2 linked regions of the Rhinolophus ferrumequinum genome follow. The protein of the gene in region 2 purifies or fractionates together with the protein of the main gene of each other region. This does not show direct contact. Links are inferred from orthologs where the notes say so. Each region holds a gene or a part of one and is shown on either strand. Other genes may lie near its edges.

What was found.
Region 1: the proteins of SAE1 (region 2) and SUMO3 purify together in Homo sapiens (affinity purification with mass spectrometry; 3 studies listed by BioGRID and IntAct, with this or other methods). This does not show direct contact. The link is inferred for Rhinolophus ferrumequinum from reciprocal best matches to the Homo sapiens genes SAE1 and SUMO3.

Annotation. Positions count from the first base shown.
Region 1 is NC_046285.1:107,876,666-107,889,120, forward strand, and holds the start of SUMO3 (small ubiquitin-related modifier 3), read right to left. Parts: upstream 4,647-12,455; 5' UTR 4,431-4,646; coding exon 4,410-4,430; intron 1-4,409. UniProt on the Homo sapiens protein: Ubiquitin-like protein which can be covalently attached to target lysines either as a monomer or as a lysine-linked polymer. Does not seem to be involved in protein degradation and may function as an antagonist of ubiquitin in the degradation process.
Region 2 is NC_046298.1:43,150,560-43,163,309, reverse strand, and holds the start of SAE1 (SUMO-activating enzyme subunit 1), read right to left. Parts: upstream 6,136-12,750; 5' UTR 6,033-6,135; coding exon 5,935-6,032; intron 1-5,934. UniProt on the Homo sapiens protein: The heterodimer acts as an E1 ligase for SUMO1, SUMO2, SUMO3, and probably SUMO4. It mediates ATP-dependent activation of SUMO proteins followed by formation of a thioester bond between a SUMO protein and a conserved active site cysteine residue on UBA2/SAE2.

The sequences.
Region 1 (12,455 bases), on a different chromosome or scaffold from region 2:
AATCACACACGGGTTTCCTGTCTCCTGGAAACACACGTGTCCTGGAGCAGGGGCTCAGTCTGAGGCATTTCCTAGGAACCAGAGTGACGCACCCGCGTGTGACGCGCCCACAAGGGTCCTGCAGGCAGAGCCGCCTCATCTATCTGGCTGTTTGGGAATAAAGGAGTCCTTTATTTTTGAACAAAATGATGAAGCTGACCCCGAGTCAATTTGCTAATAAAGTTCTGATGGAAATCAAAGTGTATTCTGCACTTTCTCCAGCTGCCACACATGCTCTTTTCCCTGATGTGTCACTTGTCAGTGCAGCCCCGGAGGACCTGACCCCCCCACATCAGGGGCTCAGGGCCAGGACGAAAGAGGGGCCCTGCAGGATTCCACACCTGCTCCCCTGCCCATCCTGCTGGGACAACTGGGTCCCTTGTTCCCCTCCCTGTGTGCCCAGCCATCCTAACAGAAGGGGACAGGGGGTGATGGGGTGGAGTGGGGGGCAGGCAGCTGCATCCTGCATGCTGGCTCCAGGACATCCCAAGTGGGGGCACAGCTCTGACCAGGGAGCTCGGAGTGGCCCCAGAAGTGGTCCCAGGAGGCAAGACCCCAGCAAGGAGCCTAAAGGAAGACATCCTGGGGTGGCACTTACTGGCCACACCGCAGCCCACCCAGCACCTGGGCACAGGCACCACTCACGCCCTCCCTCTCCACAAGTGGGGGGCACTCAGTGACCCGAGGCCAAATGGGCTAGGGGGACCCTCTAGGAGCACCCACTTCATTCCCTAGAGACTAAGGAAGCATTTGCTTTTTATTCCAATAAATGTTTTATTTTAGAATTTTACATTTACAGAAAAGTTGCACAGCAGAGGTGGAGAGATCCTATGTGCCCCTCACACGCTTTCCCTTATGTGAACAGCTCACACAGGCGTGCGGGACGTGTCACGCCTAAGAAACCAACACTGCCCATCACTAGCAATGAAACCTCAAGCTTTTCTGGTATCCGCCAGTTTTTCCATTGTCCTGTTTCCTTTCCATTTGCTGTTCCAGGATCCAATCCAGGGGACTACATTGCATATAGAGATAGGATTTTTTTTTCAATTTTTTCATTGTGTTAAAATACGCATAATGTATAATTTACCATTTTAACCATTTTTACTGGCATTAAGTACATTCACAATGTTGTGCGACCATCACCACGTGGCATCCACCTCCAGAAGTCTTTTCATGGTATAAAACTGAAACTCTGTTGCCATTAAACACTAACTCCTGTCCTCCAGCCCCTGGCACCAGCATCCTACCTTGTCTCTCTCACTTTGACTATTCTAGGATCTCACATAAGGGGATTATACGGAATCTATCTTTCTTTGCCTGGCTTATTGAACCTAGCGTCACGTGCTCCGGGTTCATCCATGTCGTAGCAGGTGTCAGAAGGTCCTTCCTTTCTAAGGCTGAAGAATACACTCTGTTGTGTGTATAGACCACAGTATGTGTATCCGTCGATAGTCACCTGGGTGGCTTCCACATTTTAGCTCTTGTGAATAATGCTGCAATGAATATGGGGGTGCAAATATCTCAAGACCCTGCTTCCAGTTATTTTGGGTATATACCCAGAAGTAGGATTGCTGGGTTTGATGGTAAATCCCTTTTTAATGTTTTGAGGAGCTGTTTTTCACAGCTGCTGCACCTTCTTATATTCCTGCCAACAGTACACAATGGCTCCCTTTTCCCTACTCCTGGCCAACACTTGTTTTCTGTTTTTCTGATAGTGGCCATCCAGATGGGTGACGTCTTGATTTGCATTTCCTCAGGGACCGGTGATGGTGGGCGTCTTCTCATGTCCTTATTGGCCATTTGCATGTCTTCTTTTGGGAAATGTCTACTCAAGTCCTTTGCTCATTTTTGAATGGGGTTCTTAGTTGTTGAGTTTTAGGAGTTCTCTATATATTCCAGATATCTCATCAGACATATGATTTGCAAATATCTTCTCCTCTTCTCCAGGTTGCCTTTTTACTCTGTTGCTAGTGTCCTTTGATGCACAAATTTTTTTTAATTTTCACGAAGTCCAGTTTGTCTATTTTTTCTCGTATTACCTGTGCCTTTGGCGTCACTTCCAAGAAAGCATCGCCAAGTCCAATGTTGTAAAGTTTTTGTCCTGTTTTCTCCTAAGAGTGTTACTGATTTAGGTCCTTAATTTTTGTACATGGTATTTAAAAAGATCCAATTTCATTCTTTTGCATGTGGACAGAAGATGCATTTGCTTTTATAATGAAAAAATACAGAAGTATTCAAAAAAACAGGAGCAGGGAACGGAACACAAAACAAAGAGAAACACGGGGCGGAGGGTCCCCAGGGACGATGGCAGCACCAGCTCCCTCAAGGGGTGGGTGTAGCCAGGAAAGGTCCCAGGTACCTGTCCCCAAACCCCTCGTGACTTACTAACAAACAAGCAGTAAAGGAAAAAACCATAACCCTAATGACAACCACCACAATGCACTGTGGTCTGTCCCGTCTCAGCCACCCCGGGGGGAGAGAAGCTGCTTTCCCAGCTGAGCCCCAAGGGTTTCCTCCCGCAGCATGATGGTCTAGGAACACACCTCCTACCGTCCTCTCCTGGCACATAGCGGAGTGCTCCCAGCATGCACCCAGGGCACCGCAAAACATTCCGTTGTCTTGGACACAGGTAAAACACGTTTATTCAACTTAAAGGACCATGGAAGTGGACCCCATGGGAGGGCTAAGTTTAAACACACTGAAGAAATGAGGAACAGGTGGAGGCCACCCAGAAAACCATAGAGGCATTTATATTTGGCAGAACAAATCATCTGGGCTGGGAGGAGTGATAAGAAAAGGCTTAGAACCAAAATGTACTAAGTGAAGGCCGCTGCAACCACATCTGGAGAGAGGTTTGCCTGGAGTGTAACCTTTTCTCAAAGCAGGGCAGGAGAGTGCAGGCTTCCACAGCCTCTGTGCTGCTGGGAACGTGCTGGGCTCCCGTCTGGGCTGCAGAAGGTGCAATCTCCAGTTCCAGGGCGGTATCAGAGGAAGCCTATGAGCAAGGCATTCGACTCAACGGCAGATCTTCCTCTTAGTAAAAAGAAACTGGCCCTAACAGCGCAGACGCAAAGCTTTAGACACATGTTTTAAATAATAGTAGTTAAACCCACTACTAAATAAATAGTAGTGCCCGCTTACCTTTGGAAGGGCTGAGGCCAACGCCTGGGAGGCGCGCACACTAGAGGGCGCCATGGGGACGGGTGGGCGCACACCAGAGGATGCGACCGGGAGGGTGGGCGCACACCAGAGGACAGCGACGGGGAGGGTGGGCGCACACCAGAGGACAGCGACGGGGAGGGTGGGCGCACACCAGAGGACAGCGACGGGGAGGGTGGGCGCACACCAGAGGACAGCGACGGGGAGGGTGGGCGCACACCAGAGGACAGCGACGGGGAGGGTGGGCGCACACCAGAGGACAGCGACGGGGAGGGTGGGTGCACCGGAGGACGCGGCAGGAGGGGCTGTCCGCTTAAGATTGGCAAGGCGCGCAGACAGGCCAGGCCTCTCGGGGCCCCTCGGGAGTGGCCTGCAGTAAAGACTTAGGCGGGGGCCTCAGCAGACAGCGCCGGGGCTTTCCGAGGACGTGGGTGTACTAGGGGGAGGCCTCCACGACGAAGGAGGTCCCCGGGGACGGGTGTTCCGGGGGAGGGATCCCCGCGGGGGACGGAGGAGAGCGTTTCTCCGTGAAACGGACGGGTGGCCGCGTCCGAGATTCCCGCTACTGGATGTGAGCGGGAAGAGGGGGTTTCCGGTGGGAGAGAGGGTATGTCGGTGGAGCGTACCCCGGCGGGGGACTCCACGGAAGAGAGGGTCCGGATGCGGCAAAGGGTCCAGCGGGGAAGGGGCAGTAGAGACTGGGAATCCGGGCAAGGAGAGTCCCGCTCTACCTCCCAGCGCCGCAAGGTCCCGCTCTTGGCCCTAGGTCAGCTCCAGGCGGGGTTCCCCGCTGGGCAGGGCGGAGCCTCATCGGGGGAGGGGCCCGGGCAGTCCCGCAGCGCGTGGAAGGCGGAGCGGGACTCGTAAGGGTGGAGCTGTCGGGCGGGGGCGGGGCGCGGAGCAGTTTGGGCGGAGCCTGGACGGAGGGCGGGGCGCGGCCTGGGCCGAGAGGGCGGAGCCTGGACGGGGGCGGGGGAGGGGAGCCGAGCAGCGCAGCGGCAAAGGGGGGAGGGGTGGAGGAAAGGTGGGGGTGGGGTGGAGAAAGTGGGGGAGGGGCGGGAGGCCCAACGCTGGGAGGCCCCGCCAGTGCCGCCGTTCCTGGCCCGAGGCAGAGCCCGGCCGCGGAGGGCGCGCGGTGTGCGGCGGGGACGGCGGGTGGCACGCGGGCGGGGGTTGACCCCGGGTGCCGGCCAGCGCCCACCGGCTCTTACCTTGGGCTTCTCCTCGGACATGGCTGCGCACGGCGGCGAGGCGGCAACGGGGAATTAGACAGCGCCGGAGCCGGCGAGTCACGCTCTCGGCCCGCCGCTCTCCCGCCGCAAATGCTCGCGGGGCCGCGCTTTGCCCCCCAAATCCCGGAGCGCTGGTTGGCCGGGGCGAGATCACGTGGTGGACGCGCGTGCACGACGCGCGTGCCCGGGCCGTCGAGCGCGCGCCCGGCGGGGCCGAGGTTCTTGGCGGTTAGGAATGCGTCACGGGGCGGGGCCTCGCGCGATCCCAGCGGTCCCCCCTCCCGGGGACGCTCAGGGCTCTGGGCTCGGGGGCCGCGCTGGCACCTCCGGGGAGCTCAGGGCAGCGAGGGCGGGGGGCCAGAGGGGCGCACTGAGAGCCTAGACCATCAGGCCGGGCCAGGTGCCGCGTCAGAGACAAGGCCTGGCGCGTTACCTCGGGGCCTGGCTGCCACCTCAGTGCCATGGTCCACAGACCTGGTCCCTCATCTACTTAGGTAACTCAGCCAGCCAAGCCCAGGCCTACCCACTCATTTCCTCCTTTCCGAAGGAAAAGGAAAATAAGACCGTCTGGTGAACCACCTCCAATGACCACAGGAGACCTGGGTGAGCGAGGGGTGCCTCGGAGGTGAGCCCCTCCTGGAAAAGGCTCGGGACCCTTTCACCCAGGAGCCAAATGTCAGGTCATGAAGAACTGCTGGGTGAACCAAGAAGGCAGGCCAAGGCGACCCTCCATAGGCTCCATCCACTCAGGACACTGTATTTGCTGATTTCGAAGCCCACGCAAATTCAAGTCTGATCTCCTTCACCCAGAGCTGCAGGTGGACAGAGGCATAAACAGGGATGTGCATGTCTTACTCTGGCAACGCCTCACTCTGACCTTAGCCAGGCCTTCCTCTGCCGTTTCCTCTTCTCCCTTTGTCTAGTCCCCCTTTGGGGCTTCTGAACCTGGCTACTGGAAGCTGACCACCTGGGGGAGATGGTGGGAGGGGTGTAGGAGGCCCTCTTGTGACCATTTTGCTAACGTTTCTGGAGTGCACACCTTGTGCCAGACGCTAGCCCTCTGCACCTAATCCTCACAGCAACCCATTTCACAGATGAGGAAATTGAGGTGCTGAGGTCAATTTACACACCTGAAGTCCCACAGTTGGTAAGCAGTACAACTGGGATTTGAACACTTGGCAGTTGGTCAGTGAGCGTGACCAGTGTGCTCTACCGCCTCTTGGGGCAAACCCAAGGCTAGACCCCACCAAGATGGTCCACAATGGGCGCTCAGGCAGTCACTGGAAACATGGGGGAGAACGGGGGCCATGGTCAGGATGTCCTTTCAGTACTTTGAGCACACATTCTTAGAAGGCCCTGCCTCCTCTGTCCTCCCTGTCTGTAATCCTGATGCCCTCAGATGAAATGGACCAGGGATGGCTGACATTTATCTACTACTACTCAGGGTGTGCCAAGCCTGGTGCCAAGCTTACCTCATCCCACTCAAGCCTCACAACACCTTGAAGCAGGGACTCTTGTGATCCCTATTTTACCGATTAGGAAATGAAGGTTTAGGGGGAGGGTGGACTGCCCAGGATGATACAGCTAAGAAAGAGCAGGGTCTGGATTTGAACCTGTGATGGGATCATTTCCATCCTGCCTGAGTGAGGCCCAGGCCACTGGTTCCACTCATTTCCTGTTAACATCACAAAGCCATAGATCCAAGTTTTCATGGACTCTAATTTCACAAACCTCTGATTCTTAAAAATCCACTTCTTGGCCAGAGGCACCATTTAGGAGAGGGGAACAGGGCATCCAAAATGGAGCTGCCACATCACAGATTCGCCAAATCTCTCCATGAAAGGTCTGGTCAGAGTCAATCCCCTGTCTCAGCCAGGACCGAGAGTTTGGTCCCTTTCATCCTGGACCCATGGCCCACCTCTGCCAGAGGATCCCTAAGTAGAAGAGCCCACTCAAGCTGTGCTTCCGGGAAAGGGGAGACTTCCGGCACCAGCCCCTTCCGGTACAGAGATGCACAGTGGGGCTCAGACTGCCTCTTGCCCCCACCCCAGATCGTTGGCTGTGGTGTGTGATTTCAGGGAGGCAGTGTTCAGATCCATCATCAACTCTAAGACAGCATCAATGATAAAACATAACATTGTATGTGTCACATACATACTAAGCTATGACAGGTTATGGATGGAAGACACATCCTGTTTTCAGACTTAAAGTGTGAAAAATACATTAACTTAAAATTGATGAAACACAATATCTAAATATGTTACAATTAGAAATTAGACTATGGTCCATTCATAACGAAAGGCTATGTCACTATTAAAAGAAATGTGTAAAGAAAAGAGTAGTTGGTAACAGGAAAAGAAGCTCAGATGATAAGTTTTTAAAAACAAATTATAAAATTATCATGGTTTTGAACAACCATAAAATCTGTATGAAATATTTTGAAAATCTCTTTGAAGACATCAGATAGCTACCAAAACAGAGAAGACTTTCTCTAAGGGGCAGAGATCCCAGCAAGAAAGTGATTTTTTTCCCTTTGAGGTCTTTGGTGATTACTATGATGTATCAGTCTGTTTGGGCCATCGTAACAACATACCATAAAATGAGTGGCTTAAAGAACAGACATTTTTTTTCACAATTCTGGAGACTGGAAGTCCAAGACCAAGGTGCCAGCAGGGTTGGTTTTAGACGAGGCCTCTCTCCTTTGCTTGTAGATGGTCACCGTCTCCCTGTGTTCTTACATGGCCTTTTCTCTGTGTGTGCATGGAGAGAGGGAGAGGGAGAGAGGCAGGAAGAGGGAGGGGACGGAGAGAAACACACACGCACAGTGCAGTCCATAATATATGCAGTGGACAAGAAGCTGAGACACAGAGCAGAGCTTTTGAGTCTGTTAGGTGGGGGAGACAATAACTGGACATGGCCAACAGGATGATAAACTGGGGGTCGGGGGCACTCTGATCAATAACCTGGACCTTGAGCTGGAGCACTGAGCTCTACAACAAAGTAGTAAGGCTGACATCCTCACAAAGACTGAAACCAGCACCAGACAGCTCACTCCCAAGTTGGACTAAGCTGATCTCTCCTTCTCATTGCCAGCCTGAAGCAAAAAGAAATCTCTGGAGGAAAACATCATCTCAGGCCTCAAATTAACTAAAATAGCTTCATACGCAATATACAGAATTGAATAAAAGTTTACAAAGAAAACCAGAATACAAATGATCCAACACCAAGAAAAGTGTATGTGTGTGTGTGTGTGTGTGTGTGTGTGTGTGTGTGTGTAGAGAGAGAGAGAATAAATCCACAGGAAAACAGGATATTGGCATTATCAGACACAGACTTTAAAGTAACTTTAAATAATATGTTCAAGGAAACATGAGATGAAATTTTTCAGCAGAGAAGTAGAATCTATTAAAAAAAAAGAATCAAATATAAATTTGAAGACAAAAATGCAATAATTGAAATTACGAATTAGGTAGATGGGTTTAACAACAGATTAGACACAGTGGGAGAGATGATTATGAACTGGAAGATAAAATTCAGAAGAAATTTTATTTCTTCTGAATATTTTCAGAAGAAAATATTCAGACAGAAGCAGAGAGAGAAAAAAGTATGGAAAATATAGTAAAAGATATATGAAATATAGTGGAAATACATAACATATTTGTAAAATGGAATTCCAGAAGAAGAAAAAAGAATAGTCCAGAAGCAATAGTTGAAAGATAAAAAAAGGGGATTTTTCAAAATTCACCACAGATAACACACCACAGATTAAAGAGAAACTACCAACCCAAATGAGAAATAAAAAGGAAACCACACCTAACTATATGACAGTAAGCCTGCTGAAGACCAAAGAGAATATCATTGTTTTAAGGAAAAACAAAAAGACTCACATCGCACTTTGCAACAGAGACATTGAAGCCAGGTGACAATGGAATGGCATCTATCAAATGGTGAAAGAGAAGAACTACCTACATAGAGTTCTATATCAATTAAAATTTTGTATAAAAATAGAAGTAAAATAAAGATATTTCAGAAAAAGCAAATCATCTAGAATTCATTGCCAGAAAGCATACACTAAAGGCAATACCAAAGAAATATCTTCCTGCGGAGAGAAATTGACCCCAGATGGAAGCATGGATATATTAATACAATGGGGAACAAAGAGAGAAGGAAACATGGAAATAGAACAAAAAGCATACATACGTAGGTAAATCTAAATGCATAATGACTCTGTAAAACAACAATAATGTCTTCTGGGCATTCATCCACCCACCTACCCACCCATCCATCGTCAATGCATCTATTACAGGGCATTGGCTGCCACAATCATGGGACTGTTAAGTCCCACGGCATCCCATCTGTTGCTGGGGCTTCAAGCTGCAGGGTGGGCAGACAGGAAGGGAGGGTCATGAGCTGCAAGGGCTCTCAAGCAGAGGCTGCGCCACCTCCACGTTCGTTGCCTCAGCCCTCTTCCACAAGGGGGTCCTGCAGAAGCAGGGCCCTTTGTCATGGAGCTGACTGCTCACTCCTGGCTTGCTGCTGTATCCCAGTAAATAGGCAGAATGGCTGCTGCCACCTTTCTGTGCTCCAGAATCTCCCAGGAGCCTGTCTTGGGCCCATCCCAACTGGAAACACACAAGAAAGGGAATTCTGAGGTATTCCCCACCAGCCACCTTGACGTGTTGGAAAGCTCACTCACTACCTCAAATGGCATATGCCAATCTATTTGTTCATTATCTGTCTCGTGCCCCAGGACAGTGCTAGTACCTGCTACAAGCTCAGCAAGACTTTGTGAAATTGATGGGTGCGTGGGTGGGTGGGTAGACTGATGGATGGATGGATGGATGGATGGAAGGATGGATGATGGATGGATTGTGGATGGATGGATGGATGGATGGATGGATGGAAGGATGGATGATGGATGGATTGTGGATGGATGGATGGATGATGGATGGATTGTGGATGGATGGATGGATGGATGGTGGGTGTGTGCATGGGTGGATGCGTGATGGATGATGGATGGATGGATGGATAGATACATGAGTGGGGGGTAGTGGGTAGATGGATGGATGCGTAGATGGATGGATAGACAGACAGATACCCTACTGCTTCTGCTTCTGTGGTTAAACCCTGCTATATTAGGTGGCCAGAAGAACTGAACAATAGATCTAAGTTAGAAAACAGGTCCTATCAAAGGAGAGCTCTTCAGGTAGGTGGCCAGGGAAAATGCACACACCTGAACAGAGAGAGAGCAGGGACAGGAGCTACCAGGATGCCTAAGAAGGTGCTCCAGGGAGCAAGCATAGCCGAGAGGGAGCTGGTGGCTGCAAGAGGGAGATTCAAGTGGAGGAGCCCAAGGGGCCTTCTTGAGTGCAGGACATGAGTGACTCCATCTTAAGGCTAACCCGCCATCTTGCTGTCTGGGTAAGCCTGGATCCCTGACCCTTGACCCTCGACACTCTCCCCTACCTTGGCTATGTACACACAGCTCTGGGCTGGTCACAGGATTTCCCTTAGTTCTCTCCAGCAGGGGGCCCTCAATGTTGTCTTAACTTTCTCCCTGTTAAACTGAACAACCCACAAGCTGGACTTGTCTGGCCCCCCTTTGTCCTCTTGGCTCCTTGGGCATTTGGGGGCTGCTTTGCTACACAGCCCTCTTCTGAAATTTAGGCCTAGGGCCTATTTCTAACTAAGTGCAGTGGGAGCTGTCGGGATTATGTGGGTCCGCACCATGAAAAGTGCAGTGTAAAGGGGTCCCTCAGGCCAGGGAGGAGGACAGGCTGCGGGGCAGAAGGGGCAGCAGATAGCAGTAGGGCCAGCCGAGCTGGGTGTCTGGGGAGGGGCAGAGAGGGTGCGGCATGGACCTGGGGGGGGGGGCAGCACAGGGACACCGTGGGCCTGGGTGACAGGGTCTGGCTCGGACTGGCCGTGGTGAGAGGCCTGTGGGACACATGGGGTCAGGGGGAAGTGCGGCTGGTAAGGAGCGTGGAGTTGGTCACCTGGGGCCTGAGGAGACTGTCCGGGGAGGTGTGGAGGCTGGCATTGCCAGTCCCCCCCGCCCCCAGATCTGGGCTGCGGGCTCTGATCCTGGAACCCAGCACCATGTGCTTTCCGAGCACAGCCCCGAGCTCCCCGTGTCCCCTGAAACAGCCTCTCCTAATCATGGTGTCTGGGCCCCTGGAATTCAGTCACCCGTCCCAGCCCTGTGGCTGAGCACGCAGGCGTCTCTGCACTGGCCCCACCTCTCCAGGCCAGTGTCCACTTGCGGGGGGGGGCGCGCCCTGGCAACCCTCTTGGGAAATGGGCCCGGGTCTCCGTTGCAAGTCATCTAACCTCATGCTCCCGCCCTACGGTGGTTTCCGCTCGTAAAAATCCCTTCCTAAGGCTTCCGAGCCAGCTCAGGACAGCGCTGCCTCCCGCCAGGGCGGGGCCCGCCTCTCAGGTATTGGGTGTCAATCATCCAACCCCCTCCCACAGCACTGCCTCCTGTCGGGGCGGGGCCCGCCTCTCAGGTCCTGGGTGTCAATCATCCAACCCCCTCTGGATGGCAGCTGGTGCCCTTGCAGCCTGCTCTCCCATCAGTCACCCAGTTAGCAATCCTCTGCAGCGAGGGGTTAACTATCTTTATGCCTGGTTAACTATCTTTATGCCTGGTTAACTATCTTTATGCCTGGTTAACTATCTTTAAGCCTGGTTAACTATCTTTATGCCTGGTTAACTATTCTTCATGTGGGTTAACCTCCCTTTACATTGACAAGAGTTAACTCTTCTTTATGCTGAGCTGATGACTCTACATACCATGCCGTGCCGTTCCTTGGCCGGGGCCCTGCTGGCACCTGAGTGGAAACAGGGCAGCCTCCCGCCAACTGCCCTCTGAACATGAGTCCCCGAGACCCTTTGAGTAACTAGAGGTGGCCCTCATGATTTTGGAAAGATGCTGAAAAAGCAAAAATGGCAACGCTGTTATTTGATTAGGACACAAAGTCAGAAACCGTAAGGCACAAAGAAAATGCCACATCTTCACCCTCAGTCTGAGATACTTGACTTAATTTGGCCAAATGTGATCACTTAGAAAGTAGACGAGGAACACATGCAAAACACAGGAAGGTGAGGTTAAGTCCCGAGAAGGGCTTATCAGCGTCCAGACCGGCCAGCCAGCGGCAGGGAGCCGTGGACAGGGACAGGCTCACTGCACGTGGACAGGGACAGGGACAGGGACAGGGACAGGAGCCGTGGACAGGGACAGGCTCACTGCAATCCCTCAGCGAGCGTCCCAACCTCACTCCGTCACCACGAAAGCCCCATCGCAACTCCCACTATTGAAGAAAATTCACTTTATTTTGTCACCTCCGTGACCCTGTCCCTAAGTGTCAAGAACTAGAATTTGAACAGAAACTACCCAGGCATGTTATGGTGATGGTATTTGGTGATTCATCTGTTGTCGGCAATTGTTTAGTATTTAGGCTTGAAAACAATTCAACGTCTGCCCATGCCTGCGAGTTGAATGGCACTGCTCAGGTCTGGGAGGAAGCCATCAAGTCAGGCTCCGCTGAGCTGGCGAGGACCTCCTGGGGCTTCTCAGCAAGGTCGGAGTACGCTGTGCAGGGAGGGCCCTGCACTAGGGCGTCCGTATCCAGCTTTATGGACACGTAAGGTGCTGTTAGATGGAATCCCCTCAGGTGGACGCAGTTCCCCAACTCCTGGATGTGCCCCAGACGTGGCCCTCGTGGGGCAGGCGTGAGTGCTCTCCCAGGCCTCATGCAGCGACCAGCTCCTGCCGCTGGAACCTCGTGGAAGTGACAGTGTCACTTCCCCGCTGGAGGCACAGGAGTCCAAAAACCCAGAGGATGCCCAGCCATAAGACCACAGGGAGGAAAGCTGCCAGTGACCGGGAACGTCCCCGAGCTGAGTCACCAGAGTGCAGGGGTCCATCCAGTGAAGCAGCCAAGGGGGACAAGTCCACGCAGTGCACCACCCACATCTGCCCTCCTACACGTGCGAATCCTGACTGAGAGGCCACCTGGGGGG
Region 2 (12,750 bases):
TCACTAAAAGCCTTAGGCAGGACTGTTGTAATCTGATTTTTTTCATTTAAATCTGTTCAGCTGCTGTGTGGAGAGTATAGAGTCAAGAGTGGAACAGGGGAGATCCATGAGAACTGAGGTAATGAGATGGTGGGTGTGGCTTGGATTAGGAAATGAAAGGTAGATGAGATCAAGATGGAAGCAGAGCGACTGGACTTCCCAACAGACTGGATGTGAGCATAAGAGACAGCGATGAACAAAAGAACAAGGTTTCTGGTCTGTGCCACAGGACACACGGTGGGGCCATCAGCATTGCGCAGAATTGACCACTTTCTCCTTCTAGGAATAGTCTCTTCTTCACTTAACAGTACAGTACTTTTCGTTTAAATCTACATTACTGTTCCATCCATCTGCCCATTCACTGTATTACTTAAATGTCTTGTCAGAATCCAAAATACCGCTCCCCACTGTGACCTGCTTGGGCCAATTGCAACTCCCACCGTCCTCCGCCTCCTTCTGGAGCCCCCTGACTCCTGCCTGACATCTGCTTACATATCTCAAACTACGTCCTATGACGTTTCCCTTCCTTTACTGCAGGAGATTCATACTTGTCAAATAATTGTAGCTCTCATTCACTGAATGGACACTACTCATGCATTATCCCATTTAGTGCTCCACAATCTTATAAAGGAGATTCTATTATCTCCATTTGATAAATGAGAAAACTGAAGCACAGAGAAGCTGAGAAATGTATCCAAGGTTAAATAAATAACAAGTTCTGGAGTTGAGAGTCAAACTCAACTATTCACCACTACCAACCACTACGTAGGAGAAATTGGTCCTTAAACGAACCAGGACAGGCCCCCAAGCACATGCTCAGTCACTTTAATGACAAATATGAGCCTATATAACCGCTGAAGTCTTGTGAACGGCCAGCAGTATTGGGTAACGAAAGCCTAACAATAGAGATTTTGTAGCAGCTTTTTTGTAAAGTCAAAATTTCAGAGTTGGAGGAGTCCTTGAAAGATTTATTCACATTTACCTCTTCTTTTTGCAGATGTGGAACCTAAGGCATGTGCGATTCACCCAAGAGCAGAGAGCTAGTTAGCAGAGCTGGGAATTGAACCTAGGTGTTTGGTCTTCCTAGGTCTTTGCAATGTACAATCATTTCATTCACTCAACAAATTTCTAAATGTCTATACACTTGCAAGCACTGGAAACTGAAGAGACCAGTCAAAACCCACATCTTAATTATTGGATATTTTTAAACTGCTTACCCTCATGGAGCTTATAATCTGCTTCCCTCTTTCTAGTGACTCTTCCTTCCTCTTTCAGATATGGGATACATTATTGTTGAGTGGAAGAAAAATCAGACACACCTTTGTTGTGAGAGGCAGTGCAAAACCTGCCGAAGCACACAGTCTGAGGACATACACAACTGCCAACTTCAACACTCGCCTCTATGTTAACTGGACTGAAAGAATGAGCCCCTGTGGTGGAAAACGGAGCTGCCGTGGAAATAGCAGTGAACCTGAAGTTAGTGACTATGAATCCAGTCCTAATCCTATTTATTTGGTGTGTGACCTCAGGAGAGTTTGCTCCTGTCTCTGAACCTCATCCATAAAACAAGCTCTGCACCACAGCAAGAGATGCAAATTCACATTCTCACAGGGGCCGGGCAATGATGAGGTGTGATCAAAAAACACAGTGAATGTTTAAATTTTTAAAAATTATTACAGTAAGGGGCCGGCCCGGTGGCTCAGGCAGTTAGAGCTCTGTGCTCCTAACTCCGAAGGCTGCCGGTTCGATTCCCACATGGGCCAGGGGGCTCTCAACCACAAGGTTGCCAGTTCAACTCCTCGAGTCCCACAAGGGATGGTGGGCTCCGCCCCCTACAACTAAGATTGAACACGGCACCTTGAGCTGAGCTGCCACTGAGCTCCCGGATGGCTCAGTTGGTTGGAGCGCGTCCTCTCAACCACAAGATTGCCAGTTGGATTCCTCGACTCCCGCAAGGGATGGTGGGGCAGCACACCCTGCAACTAGCAACGGCAACTGGACCTGGAGCTGAGCTGCGCCCTCCACAACTAAGACTGAAAGGACAACAACTTGACTTGGAAAAAAAGTCCTGGAAGTACACACTGTTCCCCAATAAAATCTTTAAAAAAAAAGAAAAAAGAAGCCATGTGCAAGAAAACAGCCTGAAAAATGGGCAAATGGTTTCATCCTCCATCATGACAATGCTGTATCACATATCGCTTCTGGTACGGCAATTTCTGTCAAATAAAAATATTACAGTGTGTCCTCATCCACCTTATTTACAGGATCTGGCACCATGCGACTTCTGGCTCTTCCCCAAAGTCAAAATGACCGTGAAAGGTACATGTTTTGAATCGATTCAGGACATCAAGGCAGACACAGCAGCGCAACTAAAGACATTCATGAAAAAAGACTTCCAGAACTGCTTCAGAAAGTGGCGAGAACAATGGAATAAGTGTGTTCAAAGCGAGGGGGTGTGTTTTGAGGGTGATTAATGGCAATGTATCTTTTACTGTAATAATGTTCGTATATTTAAACATTCACCGTATTTTTTTATCATACCTGCTATATCAATGCGTGAAGCTGAACTGATGGAGACAATGGCAGAGAACCCATGCTCTGCATAAAAGAGGCAGCCCCTACTTAGCTCCAAGTAATGTGTGGTTGTCTGACCTTTCTATTTTTCAAAAGACAGAAATCAGAAACTCTATGTGAAACTTCCAGGTGGGGGAACTTCTCATTACAAAAACTTTCAAGCATACAGAAAAGTAGAAATAGTTAACATTTTGCCCTACTGACTTACCCACAAACCTATACCATGGCATTTCATGCCTTTAGCGTGTATCTCCAAAAATATGACATTCTCCTTCATAACCATACTATTACGGTATATCTAGAAAATAATCCCCACGTATCATCGAACAGGGCTGAGTATTCAAATTTCCCCTATTGTCTGAAAGATGTTTTTGTAGAAGTTTTCTTCTTGAATCCGAATCCAGTCAAGGTTCATATCTTGCATTTGGCTCCACCTCTTTATTCTTAATCTAGAACAGTCCCTTCATTTGTTCTTTTCCATGACACTGACTTCTGGAATAGAACTAATACAGTTGTCTTGTGAAGTTTCATATTCTGGACATCTTATCAGTACCTCAATGGTGTCCTTTAATTTGTTCTTCTGTTCTCTGAAAGCATGTTTAGAGTAAAAGATAGATATTCAGCAGGAAAATGTCAAAGATGCTGCACTGAAGTTCTTATTTCACCACATCAGAAGGCACATTATTAATAATCACCTCCAAGAGACAAATGAGTTTTTATTTTTCTTTTGTTTGAATATTACCTTGGCTTCATGGGTTCTAAGTCATTAAATATCATTAAAGGAAGTTGAGTTTATTCTTTCTGATGCTCAAACTGTCCCTAATCTGGCCAGTTCTCTAGATTTTTATTTTTTTAATTTTTTTTTAATTTTTACTTATTTTAAGTGTTTTTCTGGGACCCATCAGCTCCAAGTCAAGTAGTTGTTTCAATCTAATTGTGGAGGGTGCAGCTCACAGTGGCCCATGTGGGAATCAAACCGGAAACACTGTTGTTAAGAGCACTGCGCTCTAACCAGCTCTAACCAACTGAGCTAACAGGCAGCCCCCAATTCTCTAGGTTTTTAAGCTGGCAAGGAATTTCAAAAAATGTAAAACACTGTATGAGATACAGGCCAGTTTTTAACCTCTAGACTGTATGAGTTTCCCTGGGAAGGCCCTTTTTACTATTATTAATCTCCCTTCCAGTTCTGACAACATTGGTCCAACATCACAGAGGCAAAACCGTAGCCAGAATGCAGTCTGCCACCTCCCATTTCAAAAGGAATCCTAGTAGCCCCCAGAGTTCTTCTATCACACCTGGAGTCCCCTTAGAAGCAAGGGAACTGTCCCTCTACCTTCAATCTGCTTTGTGGAACCTCCTTCCTGTCTATACAGGGGAGGAAATCACTGCCCTTCCTACTCCAGAGAGCTGTTGTGAGACTCAGTTGAAAAATGGACATGGGAACACTGACACTGTCAGACTGTCTACAAATATAGATTCCAAGTTGTAGAGAACACTTTCCTTCCCTTCCAGGATCCTCGGCCAATCTTTTCCAGGTTCTCAGAGTTCAGTACATCTCCACTACCTCAGAGTAACTCCGGCCTCCCAAGAATTCCATACCCTGACTTTGATTTGCCCCTTACGTCACCTGCTCCTCAGAAGCCCCCACCCATTCCTTATTGCTCCTCAGATGAATCATACCTATCTCTCTGACAGTTCCCTTATTACATTGCTATTTAACCCTCACCAACTTTACCCCACCTCAAACAAAACTACCTGCTATCCCCAATCCCTTGGATCAACCTTTCTAATGCATTTAGGAGCCCTAAACACTCCCGTTCCTTCAAACAGCAGCCCCTAAAATCAGTCCACCCCACCTATGTCTTCAGGCCCAGTCAGTCATCCTTGAGTTCCCCTTTTCATACCCCACACAGACTCCTTCAGCAAATGCTGTCCCCTCTACCTTCAAAATATATCCAGAATACATATTTGGTCCCTTCTCTAGAGCTCCAAACCCCATTACTTATGTCTCAAGTGGATTATTGCAGTAATTACTGCAGTAGTGCCCTAACCGGAATCTTTATTTCCACTTCTGTCCACTTCAACCTATTCTCCACACAGCAAGTGATCCTTTTTAAAACACAAATCGGATCATGTTACTCCTACTCAAAACTCTCCAACAGGTTTTCCAGCACACTTACAATAAAAAAGAAAAAAGCGACTCCTCCACTTATTTGGTTCCAGCCACCCTGTTCCTGTCATTTCCCAAGTCTGCGCTGGCCTCCAGGATTTTAGGATTTTACACGTGCTGTTCTCTACTGCAGACTTTCTTCTAGACGGCTTTTTCCCCTCATACAGGTCTGAGACACAGTGTTACCTCTTCAGAGGCCTTCCCTGCCACCCCATATCAAAATAGTTCTCCACTTCACCATCCTTTCTTGACCCTCTTATCCTGCTTTTTCTCCCTTACACTTGCATTACTTAACATATTATTTATGTTTGCCTCCAACACCAGAATGTAAGTTCCATGTGCGTAAGGAGTCTGCTTAGTTCAGGGATATATGCTGCGCCTAAAACAATGCTTGAGACAGGTGCTCGATAAATATTTGATCAGACCAATCACCTCTTTAAAAGACGCCATCCCCTTGGATAACTACTCCTCAATGCCCCAGGTATGCCAAACCTGTCCTCTCTGGACACCCCCCCAAACCTAGACACAGCAACCTAAGGCATCTCCATCCGCCCGAGACGCTCCAAGCCTCTCAAGACTCCCCCTAGAAATAACTTGCCACCAAACTCCTCAAAACCCTCATTCTTTCAGATTGGCCCACCCACCGCTCAGAAGCTACGAGAAAGGAAGCTCACATGTTCGGTTCGGCAGTCTCCCCAGCATCCGGCGGAGAACAGGTCCCCACCTTCTAGGAATGAATGAACTACGCCCCCGCCCTCCCGCCCCGCTTCATCCCTGCCAGGCTTTCCTGGCCCTTCCTATTCCCTAACCCCCCGCCCCGACCTGAACCCCACCATCACCCCATTCGGGCTTCCGAGTCCCCGAGTTTGAATCCTCCTGATCCCTTAGGACTCCCCACCCCGCCCCCTCTCACAGGCCTCCAATCACTCCGAACGGCCCTCTCACCACCCTGGGACGTCCCCGCTTGCAATACCTTCTAGAAACATCCCAAATCAACCCTTCCAGTCCTCGCAGGTGGGCTACCACCCCCGGGAACAGAATTCCCGCCTCCTCTCTTCAAATCAGACCCCCTCGCTCCCTGAGGGCGGCTAACGCCTCAGGCCAGACGACCGCTCTAGCCCCTCAGCCCCACAAGCCGCACCGGCCCTGACCGTTTCTGGGCCTCCAATCCCCAGAGACGAATCTGCCGGTCATACTGCGCCGCCTCCTCCTCGCTGATTCCGCCGCCTGTCTCCTCCTTCTCCACCATGGCGCCGGCTCTCACTGCCTGCGCTCCGCTTCTGCTCACGCCAACCGCCCGCCGGCCCGCTCCTCTCCAACCGCCGCCAGCAGCGTCTGCGCCTGCGCCAGGAACCGCGACTGCGCAGTAGCTCCTCCGCGGGCCAGCCAGCCCATAGATCCTCGGACAGACCAAGTGGACCTCCCCAGGCTCAAAGGCGGGCCAGTGACTGCTAGTCACGTGACGGAGACTCCAGCCAATCCTGACTAAAAAATGGCGCGGTCTGTGGCCCCCACGAGGATACCCAAGTGGTTGTTTATGAGGCTATTCATTCAACACGTATTTATGGAGTGCGTGCTGCAAACCTGGCATTGAGGATGTTGTGAAATAAAGTGGTGAATAAAATAGTCAAAGTCCTGACCTCACGGACAGCTTCCACTTTCTATCTCTTGGGACACTTGCTCTTAACCCCAGCTTCCATGCTAGCAGAAGCCAAAACAGCCCAAGGAGAGGTCCACATGGAAAGGCACCAAAGCTCCTGACTCTCAGCCAGGTCAACAGCTGCAGCCAACAGCCAACACCAACTTGCTGGCTATGTGAATGAGTCATCTTAGAAGTGGATCCTTTGGCAGAGGGTCAAGTCACCCCAGATGGAGGAGAGACAAGGCATTCTTGCCAAGCCCTGCTCAAAGTGCTGATCTGTAAGCAAAACAAATGATTGCTGTTGATTTATGCCACCAAGTTTTGGGATCACATATTACGTAGCATTGGATAACCTAAATATTCTTCCCCCCACAACTCTCTCCTCACACTTTCCCCTCTCCTGTCTCTCCTCCAGCCGCCCTTTGCCTGACCCCAACTCGTTCTCTCCCTGACTTTTTTCCCTTTCCGTGCTGACATTCTCCATCTTTCTGAATTTAGTCTCTTACATAAACTCTGGGGGGAGTATTTTGTACTGTGGGGTTGGGGAAGATTTCTCAGAGGAGGTAATGAACAAGTAGAGACGTGAAGAATGAAGAAAAGTGAAGGCTGAGCTGTGGTGAAGGGGACAAAGGCATTAATCAAGAAACCAGATTATGAATTCTTTTTAAATTTAAATATACACTTGACCCTTGAACAATATGGGGGTTAGAAGCACTAACCCCCTCGCCCCAGCCCAGTTGAAAATCCACATATAACTTGATTCCCCAAAAACTTGACTACTAATAGCCTACTTTTGACTGGAAGCCCAATTGATAACATAAAACAGTTGATTAACACATATTTTGTATGTTATGTGTATTATATAATGTATTCTTACAATAAAGTAAGCTAAAGAAAAGAAAATGTTATTAAGAAAATTATAAAGAAGATAAAATATATTTACAGTATTTATTTAAAAAATCTGCATGTAAGTGGATTTGTGTTTTTTCTTTGTTTTACTTTTTTCTTTTTTGTTGTTTTGGTCTTTTTTTTCCCTTTTTTTAAATTTATTGGGGTGACAATTGTTAGTAAAATTACATAGATTTCAGGTGTACAATTCTGTATTACATCTTCTATAAATCCCATCCCATTGTGTGTTCACCACCTGGAGTCAGTTCTCCTTCCATCACCATATATTGGATCCCCCTTACCCTCATCTCCCACCTCCCACCCACCCCCCTTTTTTTTTCAATTCCCATTTATTTTTGGTTCTTGGGACAATGTCATTTTTTTTCAATATGAAAAAAAGCAAATTCAACACAAAATAGAAATTTGAAGTGTAGGGTAGGACAAAGCCAGGGGTAGGGGGGAATGGCAATAGCAAAAGATGAGATGTTGCCAGAAGATGGTGTCCTGTTCCATCCCTTCTGGGGAATGATTCAAACATTTAGGTGGCAGTACATACCTTTCCACACACATACAGCAAGACTGGTATTTTTGGGGGGTAAGAAAAAGTGGGGATGTGGAGGGCCTGTCTGGAGGCTTAGGGACCAAAGTGACTGGTCCCTTTCCCCTTAACCCCCTTTTCCAACCAGAGAAAGGAAGGGATCCAATGTGAGAGGGAGGTTAAATGGAAGAGGGAAGGATCCCACTGGACAGAGTGGGGCAGATCCCTACAAAGGAAACAGCTCAGGATGGAGCTGGGAGGGAGACTGAAAATGGACACAATACTGTTAACACCTCCCCCAAAGCTGAGAGAGGAGCAGGGAAATACCTGGAAACTAGGACTTTAATAGCCTGGATCCCACTCCCAAACTACTCTAGAATGGGAAGCCCTACCCCTTCCTGTAGGGACCTCTCCCTACTAGTTAGGGTGGTGTCCTTTCCCCTTGGCTACCACATGGGCTTAGGATGGTGGTCATCCATCTGGGTTTTCAGCACATGGTTCTAAACAGGATTTGGATGAGACCCAGCTTCTTGGAGAATTATCTTCAAAACAGAGAGGGAAATATTAACTGGACAGATGGGAGGAATGGACACCAGAAGGAAATGCAAGATTACTCAAAATGAAAGGAATCTCGATTTCCCAGAGTGGAAAGAGACAATATTCATTGAGCGCCCATTTATGTGCCAGACACTGTTCTAGAACCACCACCCCCAAAGAAAAAAGAGGCAGAAAATGCAAAGTCTGAGGGAGAGTAGAGGGGCAGATAAGGAACAAGGCTGAATGAAGGAACTAAGACGCCTGAGTGACGACAGGGCTTGGCCTTAGGCCTCCTCTTCGGCCTCCTTACCAAAATCCTCCTTCTCTTCCGCGGTGGCATTCTGGTACTGCTGGTACTCGGACACCAGGTCGTTCATGTTGCTCTCTGCCTTGGTGAACTCCATCTCATCCATGCCCTCGCCCGTGTACCAGTGCAGGAAGGCCTTGTGCCGGAACATGGCCGTGAACCGCTCCGAGATGTGCTGGAACAGCTCCTGGATGGCCGTGCTGTTGCCAATGAAGGTGACCGCCATCCTCAGGCCGCGGGGTGGGATGTCGCACACGGCCGTCTTCACATTGTTGAGGATCCACTCCACGAAGTAGCTGCTGTTCTCGTTCTGCATGTTGAGCATCCGCTCGTCCACCTCCTTCATGGACATCCACCCACGGAAGACAGCAGCCACGGTGAGGTACCGGCCATGGCGGGGGTCACAGGCAGCCATCATGTTCTTGGCATCGAATACCTGCTGGATGAATTCGGGCACAGTGAGGACCCGATACTGCTGGCTTCCACGGCTGGTTAGAGGGGCAAAGCCAGGCATGAAGAAGTGGAGGTGTGGGAAGGGCACCATGTTGACTGCAAGCTTGCGGAGGTCAGCATTGAGCTGGCGAGGGAAGCGGAGGCAGGTGATCACACCACTCATGGTGGCTGAGACAGGTGGTTCAGGTCCCCATACGTTGGTATGGTCAGCTTGAGGGTGCGGAAGCAGATGTCGTAAAGGGCCTTGTTATCAGTGCATCGAATTGATTACAATGTGTGAATAGGTCTCATCAATATTCTCTACCAACTGATGGACGGAGAGGGTGGCGTTGTAGGGCTCGACCACTGTGTCGGACACCTTGGGCGAGGGCACCACACTGAAGGTGTTCATGATGTGGTCGGGATACTCTTCCCGGATCTTGCTGCTGCGCCGCGTGCCCGTTCCAGAGCCTGTGGTCCCGCCCAGTGAATGGTCAGCTGGAAGCCCTGCAGGCAGTCACAGCTCTCAGCCTCCTCCCGCACCACGTCCAGGACCGAGTCAGCCAGCTCAGCCCCCTCTGTATAGTGGCCTTTGGCCCAGTTGTTGCCTGCCCCAGATTGACCAAAAACAAAGTTGTCTGGTCTGAAGATCTGGCCAAAAGGACCTGAGCGAACAGAGTCCATCGTCCTGGGTTCTAGATCCACCAAGATCACACGAGGAACATACTTTCCACTTGTGGTTTCATTGTAATACATGGAGATGCGATCCAGCTGCAGGTCACTGTTGCTGTGGTAAGTGCCAGTGGGGTCGACGCCATGTTCATCACTGATCACCTCCCAGAACTTAGCACCGATGTGGTTGCCACACTGGCCGGCCTGGATGTGCACGATTTCCCTCATGGTTCAAATTTAATTTTTTTTTTCTCACCTCAAGGTGTGTACGGGGCAAGAAAATATGTAATTGTTTTTGCTCTGCTGCTGGTCGCGGGCTGGAAGGATGGGACGTGCCCTGGAGGTTGGAGCAGCTAGGTCTGAACGCGATGGCAGGAAGGTTCTTTGGTCTTTTTAAAAAGCATTTAAATCTATTTGTTAATTACAACTTACAATGTGACCACTGTACAAAGTGACCACTGTACTTTGAAGTAAATAGAAAACATAAAAAATTCAGGATCCTGACAACTAAAGATACAAGTCAACTCTTCCAGAATAAGCATCACTTTGCTTAGAATGATTTGAGGGCTAGCCGGGTGGCTCAGGTGGTTGGAGCGCTGTGCTCCTAACACCCACGTTGCAGTTTCGATTCCTACATGGGCCAGTAAGCTGCGCCCTCTACAGCTAAGATTGTGAACAACAGCTGTCCCTGGAGCAGGGCTGCCTTGCGTTGCCAGGAGTGGCCAGTGGCCAGCGTGAGTGGCCAGCAGCCATCATGAGCGGCCGGCAGCTGAGAAGAGCTGCTGGGAGCGGCCGGCCTACCAACTGCCTCAGCCAGGGGGAGCACAAGGTTCGTAATACCAGCATGCTCCAGGGAGCTGTGTCCTACACAGTTAGACTGAGAAACAACGGCTTGAACTGGGGCCGTGGGAGGCGGAAGAAGGGGAAAAAAACAACAATAGAATGATTTGAAGCTCTTTTTGAAATGGGCAAGTTTGAGAAGCACATACCTGCCTCTATAAATTTGTAATGTTTCTTCCAAAATTACTTGACTCCCTAGGAAAGGACCTTTCCTAACTGCTTTCCTGACCCCCAATCCAGCCTTCAACTGTGATCTTACTCCTTATCCTATTCCAGAGGATGAGATGAGGGTCCTGATGGGTGGAAGTTCAGCGACAGAATGAGAATGGGTTGGTAATTTTTATTTTATTTTATAAAAAAATTTTATCTTGAAGATCAAGCTTAAACAAAAGAAATAGTCCAGTGAATAGTCATATATCATTTATCCAGATTCATTACAGGGAAAAGTTTTCAGAACTACAAATCTCACCAGGAAACCCCAGTAGGCCAGATTTTCTTAAATATTTCCACCATATAAAAAGCCAAATATGCACAAATTCCTTAAACCAAAACATTAATTCCAGAGGTTTGAGTCACATGAACATTTCTATATTTAACTCCAAATATTCCCAGGGTAAAATGATGCCAACTAAGGAAATAATTATGGCAACAAGGGGATTTACTTAATTCTTTTGACCTTCCCTATGGCTGATTGCATTTTGCAAAGATGGCTACAACAGTGTCTCTCAACCTACATGCTCTTTAAAAAAAACAAAAAAACCCCACAAACTTTTATTTGTTTAAGTATGTTTTTCCAGGACCTATTAGCTCCAAGTTAAGTAATTGTTTCAATCTAGTTGTGAGGGCGCATCTCACAGTGGCCCCTGTGGGGATCCAACTGGCAACTTTGTTGTTAAGAGCACAGCTCTTCTCTAACCAACTGAGCCATCTGGCCACCCCTACATGCCCTTTTTGCAACATCCCTTTGACACTGCTCCCATTGAGGGACGTTCATTTCCCTTGAAACTATTCTGGCTTTGGTGACTGACCAATAGAATGTGGCAGAAGGGACATTGCTTTACTGCCAAGCTAAATCAGGAAAGGGGAGGTCACTTTCACCCTGTGCATGGGAACACTTGAGTTTGAGCCCTGATAAATCAGATAAGCAGTCCCATTACCCTGAGACTGCAGGTTGAGAGGAAGCCCAACCCATGAGCAGAAACCACATGGAGAAGCCCTGAAATTACACAAAGAGAAAGAGATGCCAACTCAGCCCCCAGCTTTCAAGCCTTCCACTATTCCATTTCTAGACACGTGGTATGCAACCACAGAAATCCCAGGCCAGAATCAGACAGCCAAGCCTTCCTGACCCACAGGTACTGTGAAAGATAACGAAATGAGGGGGTCAAATACATGGTGATAGAAGGAGACTACTCTTCAGGTAGTAAGTACACAATACAGTATAGAGATGTCATGTTATAAAGTTATACATCCAAAATGTATGTAATGTTATTAACCAATGTTCCCCCAATAAATTTAATGAAAATTTTAAAAGATTATAGGAAAAAAGGGAAATGATTGCTGCTTCAAGCCACTAAATTTCAGAGCATTTTTTAAATTGTGGTAAAATACGCATAACATAAAATGTACTATCTTACCCATTACTGAAGAAAAAAAAGAACGAAAAAGAAAACACCTTCCCTTTTCTCTCTCCATCCAGCCCCTGGCAATCACCATTTTACTTCTGTTTCTATGAGATTGCCTATTCTAGATATTTTACATAAGTGAAATCATACAATATTTGTCTTTTTGTGACTGGCTTATTTCATTCACTTAGCATAATGTCCACAAGTGTCATCTACGTGTAGCATGTGTCAGAATTGCCTTCCTCTTTAAGGCTGCATATATTCCATTGTAAGTATATACCTCATTTTGTTTATCCACTCATCTATCAATAAGACACTTGGGTCTTATTGGGACCCCCTCACTTGGGGCTTTTTGACGATGATGAATAATGCTGCTATGAAGATGGGTATAGCAGTGTCTCTTTGAGACCCTGCATTCAGTTCTCCTAGGTATTTATTTACCCATGGGGCAGTTAGTTTTTCAACAACATCTAATTAGAACAGCTG